3 linked regions of the Arabidopsis thaliana genome follow. The protein of the gene in region 3 interacts with the protein of the main gene of each other region in a pairwise test. Each region holds a gene or a part of one and is shown on either strand. Other genes may lie near its edges. The genes, in order: AT4G15730, ISA1 and AT5G01750.

What was found.
Region 1: the proteins of AT5G01750 (region 3) and AT4G15730 interact in a two-hybrid assay, tested with the Arabidopsis thaliana proteins (one large-scale study listed by BioGRID).
Region 2: the proteins of AT5G01750 (region 3) and ISA1 interact in a two-hybrid assay, tested with the Arabidopsis thaliana proteins (one large-scale study listed by BioGRID).

Annotation. Positions count from the first base shown.
Region 1 is NC_003075.7:8,951,664-8,959,611, forward strand, and holds the start of AT4G15730 (CW-type Zinc Finger), read right to left. Parts: upstream 6,003-7,948; 5' UTR 5,552-6,002; coding exon 5,462-5,551; intron 5,003-5,461; coding exon 4,933-5,002; intron 4,855-4,932; coding exon 4,727-4,854; intron 4,561-4,726; coding exon 4,204-4,560; intron 4,107-4,203; coding exon 3,397-4,106; intron 3,065-3,396; coding exon 2,679-3,064; intron 2,593-2,678; coding exon 1,850-2,592; intron 1,679-1,849; coding exon 1,521-1,678; intron 1,361-1,520; coding exon 1,200-1,360; intron 798-1,199; coding exon 640-797; intron 443-639; coding exon 224-442; 3' UTR 1-223.
Region 2 is NC_003071.7:16,663,956-16,671,949, reverse strand, and holds the start of ISA1 (isoamylase 1), read right to left. Parts: upstream 6,100-7,994; 5' UTR 5,873-6,099; coding exon 5,543-5,872; intron 5,454-5,542; coding exon 5,271-5,453; intron 5,190-5,270; coding exon 5,097-5,189; intron 5,002-5,096; coding exon 4,849-5,001; intron 4,371-4,848; coding exon 4,279-4,370; intron 3,934-4,278; coding exon 3,792-3,933; intron 3,717-3,791; coding exon 3,609-3,716; intron 3,193-3,608; coding exon 3,107-3,192; intron 2,748-3,106; coding exon 2,676-2,747; intron 2,594-2,675; coding exon 2,467-2,593; intron 2,113-2,466; coding exon 2,026-2,112; intron 1,623-2,025; coding exon 1,530-1,622; intron 1,394-1,529; coding exon 1,238-1,393; intron 1,084-1,237; coding exon 1,000-1,083; coding exon of another isoform or gene 859-999; intron 756-858; exon of another isoform or gene 660-755; coding exon 579-659; exon of another isoform or gene 493-578; coding exon 410-492; coding exon of another isoform or gene 349-409; exon of another isoform or gene 228-348; coding exon 110-227; exon of another isoform or gene 31-109; coding exon 1-30. Other genes in the region: AT2G39920 (HAD superfamily, subfamily IIIB acid phosphatase), read left to right, coding at 7,645-7,708, 7,809-7,994. UniProt on the Arabidopsis thaliana protein: Involved in the trimming of pre-amylopectin chains. Accelerates the crystallization of nascent amylopectin molecules during starch synthesis. ISA1 and ISA2 work exclusively together as a multimeric holoenzyme.
Region 3 is NC_003076.8:288,133-292,141, reverse strand, and holds AT5G01750 (LURP-one-like protein (DUF567)), read right to left. Parts: upstream 2,421-4,009; 5' UTR 2,109-2,420; coding exon 1,827-2,108; intron 1,700-1,826; coding exon 1,472-1,699; coding exon of another isoform or gene 1,457-1,471; exon of another isoform or gene 1,177-1,456; coding exon 1,033-1,176; 3' UTR 538-1,032; downstream 1-537. Other genes in the region: AT5G01760 (ENTH/VHS/GAT family protein), read right to left, coding at 64-142, 229-389. UniProt on the Arabidopsis thaliana protein: Might be related to the phospholipid scramblase and tubby-like superfamily of membrane tethered transcription factors.

The sequences.
Region 1 (7,948 bases), on a different chromosome or scaffold from region 3:
ATAAATATGCTTTAGTTAATATTGAATACCCAGACACCAAAAAGAAGAAAGACCTGAAACAGGACCCTGAGAGTTACTGCAAATAGCAAACTTAGACCTTATCTAGTGTCCTCTCTCCAAGTCTTCCTTTCCTAATCTATGCTACTTACTAAGATTTTTCTATGGAAGTTCATGAAACACTATTCTATTCTTTATAGGACCAGGGTCTATATACAAAATAGAGTCAACACTTTGGGCCACCGAATCTTGATGAACTTAGAGCATCCATGGCAACCTCAATCATCTTTATAAGCGCTTCAACATCATGGAAACTAAAATCGACAACTTTTTTGATAGCAGAGATACAGTCTCCATGCTTTCTTTCTTCTGAGGTGTCAGTGACGGCTTTAAAAGCATTTTGGGATTTTGCTGAGGCCTCCATTGCCAGATTCATGCTCCCTGTCTGTATTAGATAAATATAGAATATCAGCTTTGTTTGGCACAGGAAGATAGATAACAAAGACCTCCACAGTTTAGGCAATAGGAGGATCTTAGTTGAGATTTCAAAACTCAAATATGATAGGTAAGAGACAACCCAGTTCGCTTTTTCAAATACTCCAAATGTATCATGCCATAATTGATGAAGGTGGGATAACTTACAAAGTCCAATAGCGGAACAAAATTTAGTTGGCTTCTAGCAACAGGGAGAAGGTTTCCGGCAACATGGGAAAGACCTCTTCTGGTTTTAGCAGACTTCTTAATCACCCCTTGATGATTGAAACTATCGACATCAGATGCAGATGATGACGGTGATTCACCTGAGGTAACAATTCAAATGAACAATATGTGACTTTACTGAAACGGACAGCAGTAAATAAATTGTCCGTATAAACAGATCCCAAGCATATGTTTCTCTAAATTTTGTCCAGATATTGAGGAACTTCCAACATAAGTTTTGCCTGAAAATACTTCAAACCTATAAAGTATAAAAAATCTGTAAACTATGAAAAGGTGGACATACTAAGCCAAAATAATAGGTATACGTTGACTACTGCTGAGGTAAATATCTTCTGAGAGAATTTTGACGCGAGCAAAAGAACTGAGGACTATTTTAGACAATGATAACTACTACAATTCTGACTTGACCATATTGAAAATAAATTTCCGGGAAAAAAACGTTCACTAACTGATATGATCATAGATGAAATATACAATAGTACCTTGAGGAGTCATCTGTACCATTTTTTGCAATTCATTCCATTCTCCACTCAGACCTAGACTTCTGCCATACACTAATCTCATGCAAGCCACTTCTGTGCATTTATAAGCCAAAGTAGCTGCAGCCATTTCTTGGCTTGTTTCATATTGATGGGCACAACTTCTGAGAAAAACAAGCAGAGTGTTCAATGAGCACAAAATCATAAGCGAATCAACAGCATTCTGTCAAATACCAACACCTAAAGTCGAAAGACACCGGATTCCTGAGAAGTTTCCTCAGTCATAAGGAAATGGGAAATGAGCTATCACAAGCATTCACTTACTCTGAAAGTTTTGCAGCAGTATGGTAAGCCTCAATATGGCTCATCTTCCCCACTTCCACATTATCTGTACTGCACATTTCTAAAACTGAAGCTCCAAGGAGAAACCTCAGAGCCGCTTTAAAGTTGATCTCCTTGTATTCATATTCAAATCCAGAGCTCTGAGTTCATTGAGATAGAAAGACAACCAAAAATTAATAGCCAACACAAAACTAGCAGAAGAAAGACAGCAGTGATTCATATTACTGTTCCATCATTTGTTTCTTTAGTTTATTTCTAGCAGATGAAACTTGAAGCTTCAGACTACATTAGAGGTGGCATAAAAATCTGACCTTGAAACAGTCAGCAAGCTTTCTCAGCTTTTCAGCCTCTTGAAGTATATCATTCGTGGGGCATGAAGACCTTGCAGGGGAAGAGGAAACTGATTCCACAGGGGATGCTTTTACTTCTTCCACATACATTCGTCCACTTTTATGTGATCCTAAAACCTTCGACGAGTTTGATGTTTCTATCCCAGAAATCTGCCCACTTCCACCAGAGAAATATCTACATGAGGCATCACCATTCAGGTGTTCTTGAAAGCAATCAGCCTGAAACAATTCATTTCTTTGGTTTGCTTTAGATTCATGGACTGAAATCTTAGTTGTTACCGCCTTTTCCATTGAGGGCTCGTTTTCCTCACCATCTGCAAACAATTTTGAATTTTTCCCATCCTTACCCTGCTTGTAACCCATCAACCTTATTTTCCTCACAGTACTATTGATATTTCCCTGGGCTTTTGTACACAAGGAACCACTAGCAGTTATCAGTTGAGGTTTGTGGTCAGGTTTCTTTTTAGATACGAGTAATCTTTTCTTTGGGTCTCGCTCTACATTCAAAGTGCAAAAATCATTGTCATGACGTTTTCTTTTTCTCTCTGCTGGAGTCCATTTAGGATCTTGATTCCAATGTATTTCTTCTGCTTTAATAACTCTGGCAAGTTTGTTACCATCACCAGTCTTGATATGCTTGGAACCATCACTTTCTTCTTTGTCAGCCTCCTTTTTCTTCTTGACCTTTATCTGACAACCAGCACCTACAATAATAACAAGTTGTTTTGATAAAAGAAGCCCAAGTGCGGCGAAAATGTACACTAGTTAGCTGTCAGATGGCAAGACTGACCTGCTGCTCTCCTCTTTGCTTTCTGGTCAATCTTATCCTGAAAAAAATCGTGCGAAAGGTCTGCAGATATCTGAGTAGCAGTAGGTGTTTCTCCTGGCAGCTTCATGTTTTTATTCTTGAAAATATGTGGGTTACTTCTCATAGGCTTTGCAGCATCAACAAGGATGTTGCTTGAAACTCCTTGCGATAAGTCTTCTACGTTAGACTTCTTTTCAATTGGATTAGGCAATGAACCAGAAGTTAAAGGTTGGTAGATTTTATCAGCATTACGAACATCAGAGAGGAGTTTAACACCAGTGTCAGGACCATGACCCTCACTAGCATGAAAGGATTTAATTGCGTTTGTAGTCTCTTCCTCGCTGACGCCACAGTGGTTCATTCCAGGCCTACAAGAGAATTTTAGGGAGACGATAAGGAGATATGATAATATGATAACCTGAGGTTTTGCACAAAGTTGAAGGACCAAATCCAGAAAGTAAGTAGAAGCGTTGTCAATACAATTTTATAACTTTAACGCTTGACCCAGCCATTCTAGGGAACAAGACCTTCACATGGTCGAAAAGATTTCTCCTATAACGAACTACGAAACTTATTTCAAACTAACTATAATAGCAACTAAAAAGGGCTAGTGCTTGAATCAAGGAAAGAGCACAAGATACAAATACTTGAAAAGACATATGTTAGAAAACGAGGTGATATGAAATAATCAGATACTTACAGCCAGGTTTGCATGCTACACAACCACTTATCAGGCAGCTTCTCAGTATTCAGGTCATAGGGCAGTAGCCGCCATTTCTCACAACTCTCACATTGGGCCCAATAATCTAGGTCAACACTGGTGGAAGAAGGTGCAACCGCAAAATCAAACCCAGTGTCCATGCTATTGTGACCTATATATGCGGCATCCTTCAAAGGCATCTTTGATAAAACTTTATCACCAATACGATATTTGCTACGGTTCTGTTGCAACTTTGTCGGACATGTTTTTTTCTCTTTCACAGCATGCAACCCAACAAACTTTATTTTATTTGCGACTCTGGGATCACTTTCACCATCTTTTCTACAACCTTCCTGCAAGTTACTTTTTGTTGTAAACCCATCAGTAGTAAGACTTGCCCCACCTAAACCACAAGCTGAGTTATCCCTGGCTAGCTGACCAGTGGATAAAACTTTATGCTTCTTCGTCTCATTCCAAGTGGTGGCATGAAAACAGTCTACCTCTTTCCTTCTCCTTCCAATTGGAGTTTTCTCACAACATAAAACATCCGAGAACTTGTTCTGTATCTGAATAGAAGATTTCTTTCCTGTCTTAATCATAGGTTGATTGTCTAATAAAGTATATTGCTTCTTCTTATCCTTCACTAGGAGCAGACTATCAGGAAGAGGCGACATCAGTAGATCCTCTGGAACAGAAATGGCAGTCATTTCCTGTTTCATGAAGTTAAAAGTAAGGTGGCATCAAGTCAAACGAATTAATCCACACACAAAAAAAGGTATAAGCGAAAGAATGTGAAATATGATATACCTGAAGAATGCGGGAAGGAGATTCACTTGTCTTCCCTAGAGATGTATGCGGTAGCATTCTGCTACTATCATCCTGGCTGATTCGGGGTGGTGAATTTGGAGAACCATCGAGACCAAGATCCTTGCAAACCATCGCGACACTTTGGGACAAGATTTCAGAACCCATTTTGATCCGAACTCTGATCGGCTTATTATGAGGCAAATCATTGGCTGGTGTTCTTGCATTTCCTTTATTTATGGGAACTTTTCCTGGAGCTTGAGCCAAAAGAGATCCTGAAGTTTGATAGTTCTGAGGATCCTGATTTCTTACTAGTTTACAAGATGTAGCAGGGGGTGACTGAAACTTCTGAACCACATTCTGCGCAAACAATAATTCATAAGTACTCATAATTAAACTACTTAAAACACTGAGGAAGAAAAATCACTAAAAGGTCCAGATTCCTTCAAACAAAAACAACAAGGTAGTTTCACTACCATATTTTCCTTTTATCCTCACATGGAATTGAGAATTGTTTCTCTCATACCTTCCCGGGTAAACTGTTGGAAATTCTTTGTACAGCATGATTCCCTAGAGAACTCCTTTGACATGATGGTACAGCCGGCAAACGTTTGTAAGTGGGCAAAAATGATCCATAGTCAAAGATCTCCGGACCTGACCAACCATATCATTCAACAACGACATTTCATTTCAAAACAAATATCTCACTAACACCAATTTAATATTACTTACCAAACCGGTCCCGGGCTTCCTCTCCGAAACCTTTTTGCAAGTGGCCAAGTACATTCTGTACCTTCTTGTCCTTAGATACACAAAGCAACAAAACTTGAGCACATATATAATAAAACCACCAGGCAAAGAAAAAGACTTCGACACACAAAGATACAAAAACAGAGAAAAAATGAGTATCCACACTATATATTCTTTATTGAGATACATAAAATTGAGATTTCATATGCTACAAAAGACAGACACATAGTTCTCTGTTTAAAACTCAAAACTCAGTAGAAACAAGCAAGATTCATAGCAATTGAAATATCTTATTAAAGGTATATCTCCTCCAACTAAACTAAGATGCACAAAACTTAATCATCATTGGCATTATAAACACAGAGTACTGTACTATTCATATGATCTTAACACTTCCAAAACATAATCAGAAATTAAGCATCACACAAAGATCAACAACGGCTTCACATAACACCACACAAAAAAGATCATTTAATAATGAGAAAAAAAATCACAAACAAGAGAGACTCACAATGTAAGAGAGATCAACGTCAAGATCAACAACAGCTTCATCAGAAGAACAATTCATCTCTCCTTCTTCAAGCTCATAATCCTCTCCCATCTTCTAAACTAGTAAAACCCTAAACATAACCCAATTCCAAACCCTAATAACTACTACTACTTCCTAAACCCCAACACTCACTAACTCTGCCGCCACCAAACCGTCTCGAAAATCCAACATTGCCCAAAACAATCTCAAAACACACAAAGTTTCAAATCATAAACACTTAGATTATCCCCAAAAACCCTAAATTTGTTCAATCTCCAAAGGACAATCTAGATTGTTGTTAAAACGCGAAATTAATCGCTTAATCACGTTTATCAAAAACTCAACCAAACTCGTTTGATCAAAAGACGAGAAAGTTGAAAAGGAAGATTCGATCACTGTGATCGTCTCAACGGCGGCGAAGAGCAGCGTTGAGGGTTTAAGGAAGATTCGGCGGCAAGTTGGTTTTGCGTCTCCGATTTTTTTTGCAGACAAGACGCTATGTGTTGAAGAGTGTTTAGTTTTGGAGGGTTCCTTTCGTTTATGGTTTAATCATTAATTAATTAATTATAAACAACTTTAATTTTTCTATAATTCGTATCTCTCATTTATTAATGCTTGAGAAATAATTTACATTTTGCCCCTTATATTTCTTAGATTTTATCGGATATTGCTTAACAGTTTAGAAATGAGAGATACGAATTCATGACAATAACGAATTGTGGATTTTGTTCCTAAGTTCGCTAAATAGGTTGCATGATACCACACTTTAATTATTATGTATATATTTATGTATTTAATAAAATATAACTTGTTATATGTATTACTCTAAACACTATCTAATCTATATATACATTTTTGTAGTCATTTTATGAAATAAATCCTGCAATTGGAACTTATTTACAATGGCTGCCACTGACTTATTAAATGCAAAAATTAACTACCAAATCAAAGCAAATCTTATTCAAAAGAATATGCTTTTATTTCATGGCCTAATTATTTTTGCCAAAATGGTTAAAATATTTAAAAATTAAATAACCATTTGAAAGAAAACTTTAAATTGATTTAAATTATAAATCTTTTAATAAAAATATTATTAAAAAAATAGAAAAATAATTTCACCGAACATGATTAGATAGTAGGAATAGATGGTAGGACGTGTTTATAATATTATAATATATAAACTTTATAATAATTAAATAACCATTTGAAAAAAAACTTTTAAATTGATTTGAATTAATATTTTTTAAACTAAAGTATTATTAAAACAAAAATAACAAAATAATGTCTAATTTTACTGAACGGGGTTAGTGGTAGGACGGGTTTGGTCGATAGTATTACGAGACGGTATACCACAAGTGAAATCTATTAGATATGTTTAATTTCAATGTGCAGGATTAGATGGTATGACGAGTTTTGATCGATAATAATACGAAACGATATACTACGGATGAAATCCTAGATATAACAACTAAAATCTATATATACATTATCTTAAACACTAAACAAAGCAAACAATATTAATAAAACAAATATTTACATATACATTTTATATAACAAATTTTATTAAAAACCTAGCCCCGCGGTATACCGCGAGTCAAAATCTAGTTCTATATATACAGTAGTAGGGCACTAATCCGATCTTTAACTCATATACTTATAGTCAATATCACATATACAATTGTTTCTAATAAAACTCTAGCTCGTTGTAGACCATGTCTAAATTGGATAAACAGTTCTATATATGTGTAATCATAAAAAAAAAATTCTAGTTTAAAATGGTTGTATTGTAGTTAAGTGCATTAACTACGTTTACAAATGTCAAAAAGGCTAGTCGTAAGTTGTTACCAAATCCATTTTCGGATTGCAAATTGTGCAGATTGGTTGCATGATACCACTCTTTTTCTTCTACAAATTTAATATAATTTTCATATTCTCTTTTTCTTCTACGAGTTAATATAACTTTCATATTCTCTTTTCTTTCTACGAATTTAATTCTTTGATATTTTATTACTATCTTCATCTAAGATTTTGATCTTGCTTTTTTTTTTCTTTTGCTAAATTTATTTTATTATAATTGATTAAACTTTAATGCATAAGTTTGAACTTTAAATAGTTTTTTCTATAGACTAAACTTTTTTTATTTTCTTCCAATTTCACCTTACTTTTTTGAAACCACAATTAAACCCCAATAATGATTTGTCCGGTTGTCGCTTGTGATAGCAGGGCTGCATGTGAGTGCGAAGTTTCTGCTACAAGCATCAGAGTTTAAAGATTGGTTAGTCTATATATAAATACAGTTGAATATAATTGGTCGGAATTTTATCACTAATGCCACTAACTCAATAAAATTGTTCATTCATACCCTTCCACGTTTTTTATTTTAATTTTAGTTTATTTTAAATCAAAATTTATATGAAAAATCCAAAAACCCTTAACCTAATCCATATATAACGTATGCCTGCCACTTCT
Region 2 (7,994 bases), on a different chromosome or scaffold from region 3:
CACATAGATTTCTTTCTTCACAGAATCGACCTACCGAAAAACAAAAGGGATTAATATCACCCACTAAGGAAACTGTCCATGTAAGAGAAGGGGTATGAGAAAATGGTACCAGTGAAAATGCAACAAATCGACTTGTTTCAGACCAATTTGGGATCTCAGGAGCAAGACCATGCCACTGCAGACGCTTTGCTGTTGGGAAATCATTCAAGCCAAGTGATTCACATTCACTACAATACAGTCATAATGGCCATCGATCAGAGGAAACCCGAGAAACAGGGGATTGCAAAAGAAAGAAAACACATAGCAGTAGGTGAAAAGGAAGAAGCATGTCAATTATTGGATTTGAGACTAAGTGAAGCGATCAACTAAGCAATTAAGATCGATAGACTCATGAAAGAAGATTACATACTCACGAAACTTGATAAGAATACGGCAGAATCTGAAGAAGTCAGAATGTGCTTCTTCCTTTTTATCCCACCGAAAATAGTTCATCTGCATCAGAGTTGTGTTAATGTCGGAAAGCTAAGATCGAAAAAATTACTTATAATCACCCTGGAAGCAAAGCATAAGGGGTTTACATAGTTGTCATGGCAATACGTGTTGTTGTTTCCCCCTTTAGTATGGCCATATTCATCTCCCATGTAAATCATTGGGACACCCTGGTGATTAATAGTTCAGAAAGACAGAAAAGGAAAAGGTTAAGCAATACACTAATTTCAATGAAAACCGGAGCATCACAATCTGACAAAGCAGTACCCTTAATACATATTCTTTGCATGACACCATGCCATTACCAGTCACAACTTAACATGTTGCAAAGGCAAACAAACAGTGCATAGTACTTAATTGCTAGTGGATTTAGATTCTCTTGTGGCTTATTAATTTATATTTTGAACTCATGCCCTCTACTCCAGTATCATAGTTCAATGTGCATAACATCAGTGAAACGAGCTTTGAGCAGGAATTAAAATTAAAGAAGCAACAAATGGTTAGCTTTACTTGGGAAACCATGAGGGAAACAAAGAAATTCCGCATCTGTCGTTTCCTTAGTCTCTTCACCGAGATACTCGCAAAGTCTCCCTCCTGCAGCCCAATCAAATGAAGCCTTTTTAGTTTAGGTAAAAGTGCAATAGCCATTTCATTTCAGCTTATAAACATTCTACAAAAAGTCGTATGATATAATATGAGACTGAATTCACATAGCTGATGAAAGAGAAAACAAAGATTAATATCTTACCTCTCCACAGTTCCAGCTGTAATTGTGATTCTCTCCATCATTATTCTCTTCTCCATTTGCCAAGTTATTCTTATTGTTGTAAGTTACTAAATCTGCCAACGTAAAACCATCATGCGCACATATAAAATTGATGCTGTGCCAAGGTTTCCTACCTCCCTGATGCACAGACACAATCAGATATCGATAAGATATACAACCAAAATATGAAGCTTCACAGACAAAACAACCAAGAGAACACCATAAAGATTAGTTATATATCCAGATACCCCAGTATAATAGGAGTTAAATTTACCTGGTACAGATTTGGGCTTCCACAGAGACATTCAGCAAAAGCACCAGAAAAGCCATCGGTGCCTTTTATGAACTGTCTCACAACATCCCGAAACTGAAATGGACAAAAATGTTACTATACCATATCAAATTCACAACGAAGATAGATATCCAGCACAGTGCACACACTAATGGGAACTACCACGAGAACTGAATATTCATTATTGTTGTCTCATGTGTTGTCTATTGGATAGTAAGTTTAAGACTTCCATGTTCATTGCTAATACAGGCTAGTAGGTTACTATACACTTCAGTTAGCTAGTACAGGCAGATCACATAGGCTGTCCCATTTTCAATTGATTAGAGCATATTCTAAGGGTCAGCAGAAAGATGAATAACCACTAATAATTACATCACATTTGGCATGAAACCCTTATACACTGTGACACTTACTCTTCCATATCTCATGTCTCAAACAATTGAAAGAAGCATTTTATCCTCGTAATACATTAACTGACCTTTCCATTCCACTCAGACCAAATACCCCAGTGTGGAAACATGCCAACTTGGTACAGCCCACCCGCATCCCATGCTTCAGCTATTAGCTGTTTGCAAAGAAGCAACATAAACACATAAATATCTCATCGTCAAAGATCTTACATTGGTGAATGTATTTCCATCAAGAAAATGACAACTTTTTAACAATCATCTTTAGATCTGGAGATTATGACATGACTTGAAAAAAAAACACAAAGGAAGCTCTATGCTGAAGTACAACAAGAAGAAATAAAACATGTTGTACGCTAATTAACCTTTTGGTGCCTAATCACATTGGGAGATTTTAAAGTTTGGTCATGGATTGAGATAAAATAGTAGTCATGTAGTCAGCATTTCTCCACTCTAAACAAGGAAAACCGACGCTATCTGAAGGGGACATATCAAGGGAACTAGTTGATCACCTTAACACCGCGGAGTATTGGATCATTACTTATCATGTCAATTACTGGAGGGCAGCTAATAGGAGTACCAGTTGTGAGCAAGTCACCTTCTACATCAGCCCCGTAAACATTGGCTGCATCCCAAAGGCTAACAAGAATAGAACAATAAATATTCCAGAAACACATGGACCAAACAAGCACTCATTTGACGTACTCTAGAACATTTGCACCTGCTGCTCCTTGACATGATTGAACCAAGATCAAAGCGGAAGCCGTCAACATGCATTTCTGTAACCCAATATCTGTTTAAAGAGAGAGAGAGATATCCACATGCTTAGGAAGAGTTAACTGAGGAGAATATCATGAAATACATTAATTTCAGAAATCAACCTAGTGTAAGGTTTCTTTAGTAGTCAGAAAGCAGGTAAACTCAAAATAAAGTATCCAAGAATATGTTGATTACAGTGTATTCTAGATGTAATCATAACAAATTGCCTAAATATATTTATGTCACAAATAAGGCTTAGACATTAGACATAAAAACCAGAGGAATATTAACGAGTAGGACGAGACAATGAGAGTTTGCAAGTACAACAATGAATATAACAGACTTAATTTGACAAACAGCCAAGCAATACGTCTACCCTATTTTGGGATCTACCTCAGGCAATCCAATATGAATTGACGCACCACAGGATGATTGCAGTTGAATGTATTACCACAGCCTGAATAATTATAGAACTCGCCCTGTTAAATTACAAAATATGCATAGATTGATTAATAAAGAATGATATCAGAATCATCAGTAGGAGACTACAAAACTAGAAAACCAAAAGCATTATGGGTGTTGACTTTTATATCATCATTGTTGGGAATGTATTCTACTTTGCTAGTCCTAGAGAAGTTATGTAAAGGCCATGCAGAAATTCCAAAAGAAGGCTCCTACAGGTTTCTGACGCATAATAAGTTACTGGACCGACCAACTACCAGAATTTCCAATCAGCAAAGTGACTTAGTTTATTGAGTGTACTGTATATTTTAATTGGCAAAAGAAAATGAGTCCTATATTTCAGATTCATACACCACAGAACTTTTGCTTGTCTCTTGTTCTCTAAGCAGTGAAACTCGCGAAAAGAAACACATTACTGCTTGATGAGCATTACCTTTGGAGCAAGCATGTAATAGACACTGTTATCAACTCCTCTAAATGAGAAAATGGGCCCTTTTTCATTCCCTTCGGCTGTGTGGTTCAAGACGACATCCATGATTACCTGCTTAAAATCTGTCAAGAACTGCATCCGTAAACCTAACAACAAATATTTCGCTATTTGGAAACTAGTTGATACCTCAATTCCTCGTTTATGTGCCTCCTTAACAAGAATTTTGAATTCATTTATGGCTCGTCCAGCAAAATTGTTAGAGCTTGCTGATGCGTATCTGATCATGGGCGAGAAGAACCCAATGGTAGAGTAACCCCAAAAATTTACCCTGAAATAGCAAGATAGCCAGATTAGACATGCTATATGCAACATTTAACTCAATTCGTGAAAATTATAAAATGGTATGGTTTCATGTAAGAGTGCTTGCTCAATCTATCTATTCCAGATATGTGATATCATCTGTAGGTTGTTTCACCCCTCATTAATCGGAAGAGAAAACAACAATCCTAGATGAAGAATTTCTTGAGATTAATTGATACATGCTAACACTCGCAGACGTTAACGACAAGTGGTTCTACTATTTAGTTTGCTCATCCCAAATGTCACTAAAAAAAACTTACATAGCAAAATCTGTTGTATTATCATTTCAAAGGCATCTGGTCAAATGTCATACCTGTGGTCTCCCAAAATCGTATTGTAGCTGTAATACTCCAGCTCATTAAACTCGTGACATGGCATTAATTCTATACAATTTATCCCAAGCTCCTGTCAATATGTAAACAAATATTACTGTCAATTAGATAAGAGCTATAGCAAATCACACACTATTAAAAGGGACAAAAAAAACTATAAACTCTCTGCTCATTTTGAACAACAAAATGGAAATGGCCTAAATCACCAAAACTCGTCTGAATTAAACAAGGCAGAATCTTTTCAAAATGAGGGCAACTGATAGCCACTCCAAAACACGATTTTGATTATTTTTTGTCTTTTTAAAAAGCATGATGACTTTGTGATAGCATTATGTACGCCATACCACAATGGAAGTTGATAAACTGGGAATATTATTGTCCCACAATGATCAGAAAGGACGAATTCAGTGCTGAACAAATGAATATTTTAACAAAAAATCTACAGATATAGTTAGCAGCATCTCAAAATTTCAGCTAGAGACTACTTAGTAAGCTTGTTCCAAAATGACAGTTCAAAGTTTTCTCAACTGTATATATTTCAGAGCAAGTACCTTCAAATGGTCAAGCTTCTCTGCAACACCCTGGTATGTGCCAGGGAATTCAATTTTACTAGACTCATGCCTTGTAAAACCTCGCACATGCATTTCATATATAACAAGATCTTTCTGTGGAAGCTTCAGATGCATATCCCCTTCCCAATCAAACTGAAGAGTAACAAAGGTCAATAAAATCACTCGCTAAAGAATATCTTTATATCCTCCAATAGCTATTACTAGAGCTTTATAAATATCATTGGTACCTCTTCCTCACGAGTGGGTACCATACACGCCATTTGAGGCCAACAATTATCATCAGGTCCCAAAACTCCAAACTCATCTCTGCTTATAATTGCCTACCAAACCAAAGTAACAAAAGAGATAATCTATGAGACTGTAGTTCAGCTGCTAGAAAAAAGCTTCAATTTTTCAACTACCTTTGCGTAAGGATCCAATAAAATGTTGGAGGAATCATAATAATGACCTTCTTCAGGAGAAAACTTGCCATCAAATCTATAACCATACAACATATCTTTGAAATCTCCTCTCAAGAACACATGCCAAACATGGCCAGTTCTATTCCTTGATGGATCAAGCTGAATCTCCTCCGTCACTTTGTTCTGCAACGTGAAATTTAAACCCAAATTTGAAAAAGGGGTTTCATGAAAATGTCAGTGAAACCCAAAAACAGTTGCTTTGAAGATTGAACCTGACGGAGATCGGAGAGAGAAATCAAGCAGATGGTAGCGGAAACGGAGTTTGTAGAGTAAACAGAGAAATTGACGCCGTCGTCTCTGACGGTGGGTCCGAATGGAGAAGGAAGTCCATCGGAGATAAAAAATCTATCTGATTTAAGAGGTTTCTCTACTACGGCGATATTTTCAGCTTCGTTGCTTCTTCTGTCCTTTGCGGAAATCGAAATCGGACGGAAGAGGGGCTTGAAATTGGGAGCGGAGATTTTAGGAAAGGTGTGATTAGAGAAGAGAGTGTTGAGCTTGGTGTGATGGAGGAAACTGGAACTGCATTTGATTGCATCCATGGAAGCTCGAAGAAGAGAGCTTCTCAAAAGTAGTGAAAGAGAGACGACGAAGTGTGTTCACTCACACTCAAAAGAGTGATCATTTTGATCTTTTTTTTTTACTATTGATAAGTGAAAAAAATAATAAGTTACTGCACGTGGCTAATAAATGGGCTTTAGGGCCGGGCCTTAATTTATATACCCAATAACAATGTTTCATCGAAAGTAATAATGAAAGTATTAATAGGTGACAATTGTTTGTATGCAAATATGATGGAACTAAATTCTATTAGACAAATTCCATGTGCATCCCACAAGCTGTGTTAATCTTTAAATTATTGTACAAATCATAGGAAATTAGGAATTGTAGCTAACAAAACAAATGTTATTGTCACACGTTTCCTAATCGTAAGATTTTTGAAGCTAAATGTATGGTCCCTCGACTCCAAGAGAACATTGGGGACCATAAATAAATCGACAATAACAATGGAAACTACAATATAATTATTTACGAATCTCTGGTTTAAGGAGTGACCATACATGCATGGTGACGCCGGGACCCTTCTTCAGATTCTTCTAAAGTACAAACAAAAATCTAAGTGAATAATAATTATAAGGGTATCGTACGTACAGTTAAATTCTTGTCGTATACGTCACATATAGATGATTGTGATACATATCTTAAACTATAACATTACAAAACACATACAGACATACTGATTAAATTACCAAATTGCTCCATCCATTTAATAAATTTCATTTTCCATGTCTCCGCGAGATTTGAGAAAATCTAAAATAAAACATATTATACAACGAGCTCTTCGGTCTAAGGAGTGGCCAGCCATATTATACATACTGATGACGCGGAGAACCGTTTTACAAATTCTTCAAGTTCAGATATTTAAACCCCTAATGATAATGACTTATTTACTTGTTAACATATATAGGGTTTAAAAAATTGTTGTCGTAAATGCATAAGAGTCAAATACGTACAAATTATGGTTCAATATACTAAAAGTATAATACATAAATTAATATCTTTCTAAACTAATAAAATTTAGCAGTCCCAACATTTTTAATTTATAGAGGTTTTACTGTACACGATTTTCAACCGTATGAGTTGTTATAACATACGATACGAGTAGATGTTTTTCACATCACAAATCTTTCCATCTATATATAGATCCATCTTGCAAGTTTACTTGTAACTAGAATGTTAAAATTACTTTGTCCAACAACATAAAATTCAATAATTCACTTTTGTGTTGACTAATCAATATATATTTGATAATTGTATAATCGAGTAAAGGAATGATGAAACGATCTATCAGCAGCTAAATAAAGAAAAGTTTGGTCTGATTCCTTTTTCTTATGTCTCCGCCAAATTTGGAAAATAAAATAAACTAGTGTAAGATTTTTTAAAAAAAAATTGAAGAGAAGAGAAGTTTATTTGATCGAGTAAAGAAGATAAGCTGAGGCATATCAACTTTGGATCTGATGACACACAAAAAAAAAAAGTCACGTGTAAATGTATTATATGTTCTCTGTTTTCTTGTGACCAAAGAGGCAGATTTTGAACCTTTGGATTTTTTTTCGGATCTTGATCAAAATAAAGATTCGTTTTGGTTTTGAAGCTTCTACAAGGTATGGAAAATATCAAAACAATATCCATAATATCTTCAATATTTTGGAACTTTTTTTTTTCTTTCTTAGTAGTCACTCTTTTGTCTTCTAAAACTATAGATGATGTTTTTATGATCATCGTAAGTGTTTGATTAGACAAGAAGGTGAAAATGTCGGCTTATACGCATCCGATGGAGAGGGAGCTCTCCGGTCTATCCAGCCGAGGCAATTCCGGTATGTACTAATATATTCATTATCTTCTACCATCTGTGTTTAGTTTGATTTATTGCAATGATTTTCTTGAATTTGATAAATCTTCTTGTTTATCTTGCAGAATTGGGGAGTCGGTATTCGATAGAATCTGGATGTTACATGACATCTTTAGCAGCTTCCATCTTCATAGCTTCTCTAGTAACATTTGGAGTTTTGATGATAACACTTCTTATTGCTTTATCAACCATGTTACAAAGCTGTGAGAACCGGAATATTGCAATCGTCGAGGCTCAAAGACTCGATGAGA
Region 3 (4,009 bases):
CAGCTGCATGTAGTTATAACCGAGAGAAGACAGGTTGGTTAGGAAAAGAAAAAAAGAGTGTACCGTTAAAGTGAGTAATTGAACTCTAGAACTCTTGTGCTGCAATCTTCTCTTCACGGCTTTGATGGCATCTTTGCATTGCCTGCACAAAATTTCAACGTCAGGGTATTTATTGTGAGAACAACATAGGGATATCATCATGATAAGAAAGCAAGATCATTTATTTACCAGCGATTAGAATTGAGAGAATCGCAGATGGCGATGATGATGGTCCAATCAGGAGTGCGGAGAAGCTCGCTCGTGGCTTTGTCCACCGCCACTGTCACTGACGATAGCCTCAACGAAGGAGAAGCAGAGGAGGAGGAGGAAGAAGCACAAGAAGGCCTCATCTCTACAGAAATTCTCGTCGAAAATGCCTTTATTCCACAAGGCGAGTCTAATTAAATTTTATCCCGCCATATATATACATTACATACACAGAGGAGGAGAGATATATTTTTTAAAAAATCAGCTTTCCGACAAATTCGTGCGTCCGTTCAAAAATATGTTCACACTTGGCCATGTCTTCTCAGTAACACCCGGTCCCACTCCTTGAGCAATTACTGCCACGTTGATTATTTTTCTTCGGTCAAACCTCTTGCGAGCAATTAGCAAGTCTGCAAGTGACGACGCTCCGTTTCAATAAATATTTTGCGATTGGCTTGTGTTTGATTTTTCTTTCTTCTTTTTTTTTGCGTTTTTTGTATGTATTAAAGATTGTAGATTTATTTCTCATAAGTGTTTTTTATACTAAAAAATTAGTACGTGAAATGTCTGTCACTAAAATAAATTTTTGTAACGATATGCACGTACAGTTGGCAGGAGATATTAATGAAAAAACAGTTATAAATGTAGTCATTAAACAACAAGGACAGGCACAATGATTTGATTATTTTACAACTGAGATGATCACACAAAGTTTTAACGGTTGATGAATAGCACATTATTGATGGATGGATAATTAAGAAGAAGAGAAGGTGATATCTTCTTCTCTCAGGCGGCGCGGTCTTCGCGGTTGACGTCATCGAGAATGACGACGAGAGAGGCGATGAAGGCATAATCGACGTTTGGATAAACAGTCACCGAGAAGTTGTCTTTTCCCAAGAATACGCTCTGCACCGTGTGCTTCCTGTGCATCTGTCCATCATTCACCATACCATTTTCCTTTTCTATTAGTAAACCGTTTTATTTCTCAAATCTTCCCAATTTCATCAAACATACAATATATGGGCTAAGATAAATGTATCTTTTGATCTAAACCGAAATCAAAAACTACCTAAACCTGTCCATCAAAACCGGATTCTAAAGCAGTAGACCAAAACCAGATTAAAACATTGCTAATTAATGTGTACTGTGTAGAGACATGTGAGATGCATTGATAAATGAGATGGATGGGCCCTTAATGAAGGAAAGAGAGTTAGAGATAGTATACTTGGGCAACAATGGCGTCAGATTCGCCGGCGTAAACAACACAAGAACGCTCGAGCCAACTCCCTTTGACTCTGAAATCACATCTCTTCTCATCTTTGTTGTGTCCCAAAAACACATCGAGTTTGGTCTTTAGCTGAAGCATCGACGATCTTTTCACCGTGTACAGCAGATCACGCTGATCCGTACTCCCTCCTCTAAACACTTGCCACCTGTCATGCATGCTCACCATCTGCAATCATCACGCGACACCAAACAAACTATTACTACTTTATTAATAAAATCCCATCTATACTTGTATACATGTTGTGTGTGTGCTTGCGGCTCTGTTTTTTTAACTAATACTATAAATTGTTGACCTTTTCTCTCAAAGTGACGACCGGAGTACCAGAACCATCCAGCAAGACCCTCTTGTCGTGGAGACCAAACACCGGTTCCTTCACCTTGAACAGCAGGTTTCCGTTGACGTCCGTTATCACGAAATTGCCGTCCGTTAACGACATCATCTTCCGTACGATCGCCATATCTATAGGGTAAGGAGCGCAGTACTTTGGATCCACTACCACTCCTCCGGCTTGTGGAGTCGGAGCTCCCGAGGGGCCACTACCTTGCGGGTATGCGTACACGTACGGCTGCTCCATTCTTCTCTTTCTCCACCGAAATTGATTCACTCTCTCTATTTTTTTCTCTCTGTTTTGCTTTGGTTGAAATTAATGTTTTCTTTTTCTTCTTGGTCTTATTATGCCGTGAAGATAAGTTTCAGGGTCTTCGACTTTATATAAATATACAAAATATCTGTATCGAATATGTTGACTTTTAAAAGTAGACAATCCTACGAGCATAAACTTTTAATTCTAGATAGATTAAAGATTCCAAGATAAAGATTTCCTCTAAGAACAAACCAAAAAAAACAGAAGAGAATTTAGACTATTTAATTATTTCCCGTGTTACACTTTTCTTATTGATGAAGTAGACGAATATATCAAAATGTTGCATTATTGATAAATTAAGGGAGGATACACGGTTGTCAATTGTTTTTAATACGGTCCAAATCTGTGACGACGCGTTTTGTTACCTTAAACACGGAAAAAAAAGAAGATTTTTACTCAACAAACACCGACGTATGGGTCAAATCATATTTTTTTGGATTCTTTTCCATATAATTTACAAATTAGTATTTTTTTCAACCATCGAAGATTTCATACTAATTAATTTCCATGTTGCTACAGAATTGAAATCAAATTTGAAAAGAAAAAAAAACTCCAATTGTGGTCTCCCAAATAACATTTGTTAAAATCTATCAAATGTTCAAATCATTTAAGGGCCCGCCTAACACTCGTTGATATTGAGGCAACTGACTATTTAATATTGTTGCCATTAGTGAAGCCCAGTATATGGCCTAGGGAGATATATTCTAAGCCCACTGACAACATAAGAGCATCGCTCGATTAATCGTTTTCAGATAAACAACTTTCCAATCAAAACTATTCTGCTTTTGTGTTTATCTTGAAGCAAACAAAACTTGCATACATCTAACATATCTGTTGTCTCATTGCTTATGTATAGAGGAGATGTGTTTCCAAACATGTTTGTTGAGACTTCGAACTTTGAAGCAACGCTCTGGTGGAATTGGAGTTTCTTCATGCCTCTTGCTGTGTTGTTCTCTCCAAATTGAATTAATTGCGATTACTAATAGTGATCTAAAAGGAGCTATCGTCATCTACAAAAAAAAAATCTAAAATATAATGATAACTAATAAGCTAAGCTCTTCTTTTTGTTGGAAAGTAAATAATCACGACATGAATGTCATTTTGACATTGAGCTAAACAATATATGTATCGAAAACGGTAATTTACACACTGTATTTTTCAGATTAAATACAAATTATACATTTCAGAGAAGTTATCTGAATATTTATAATCAACTATTTAACATAAAAGAATAATTAGTTCGACTGAAATATCCTTATTATATATGCATACGTTCCGATAACATATTTATAATTGTAAAACTGTTTGAAAAAAAACACTTGAATAGAATAATAGTTTGTAATTGCCAATTAATGTGTTCTAATTCAAATTTTAATTTATTAGACAATTAAAAGAAGAGGGAGATCAGAGAGATAAAACTGAATACCATTTGATAAGGAGCGGTATGACCTTACGAACCTGAAATGTGTGATTCAACAATTAAGATTAACATGTAACTTGGTCTATCTCGCACGCTTGATAGTGTATACGTATAATATGTGTATGTTATTTAAGCCCGTAAAAGAGCGAACAAGGTGGTAACCAGCAAGAGCAAGTATAATCTTAAAAAAATGAACGCATGCTCCACTAATCGATTAAATTACTCATCTTTACTCGGTAATCTTATACATTTATCATATCGTTTGATTATCTCTATTAACCTCATTAATAACTAAAAAAGGGGCAACCAAAAGGGTTTTAGTATTTACCCTTTGCTTGAAATGATATGACAGATTGACAGTTACTCAAATGAAACATCGGTTAATGACAATAGAATTAGCACCATAAGTAAA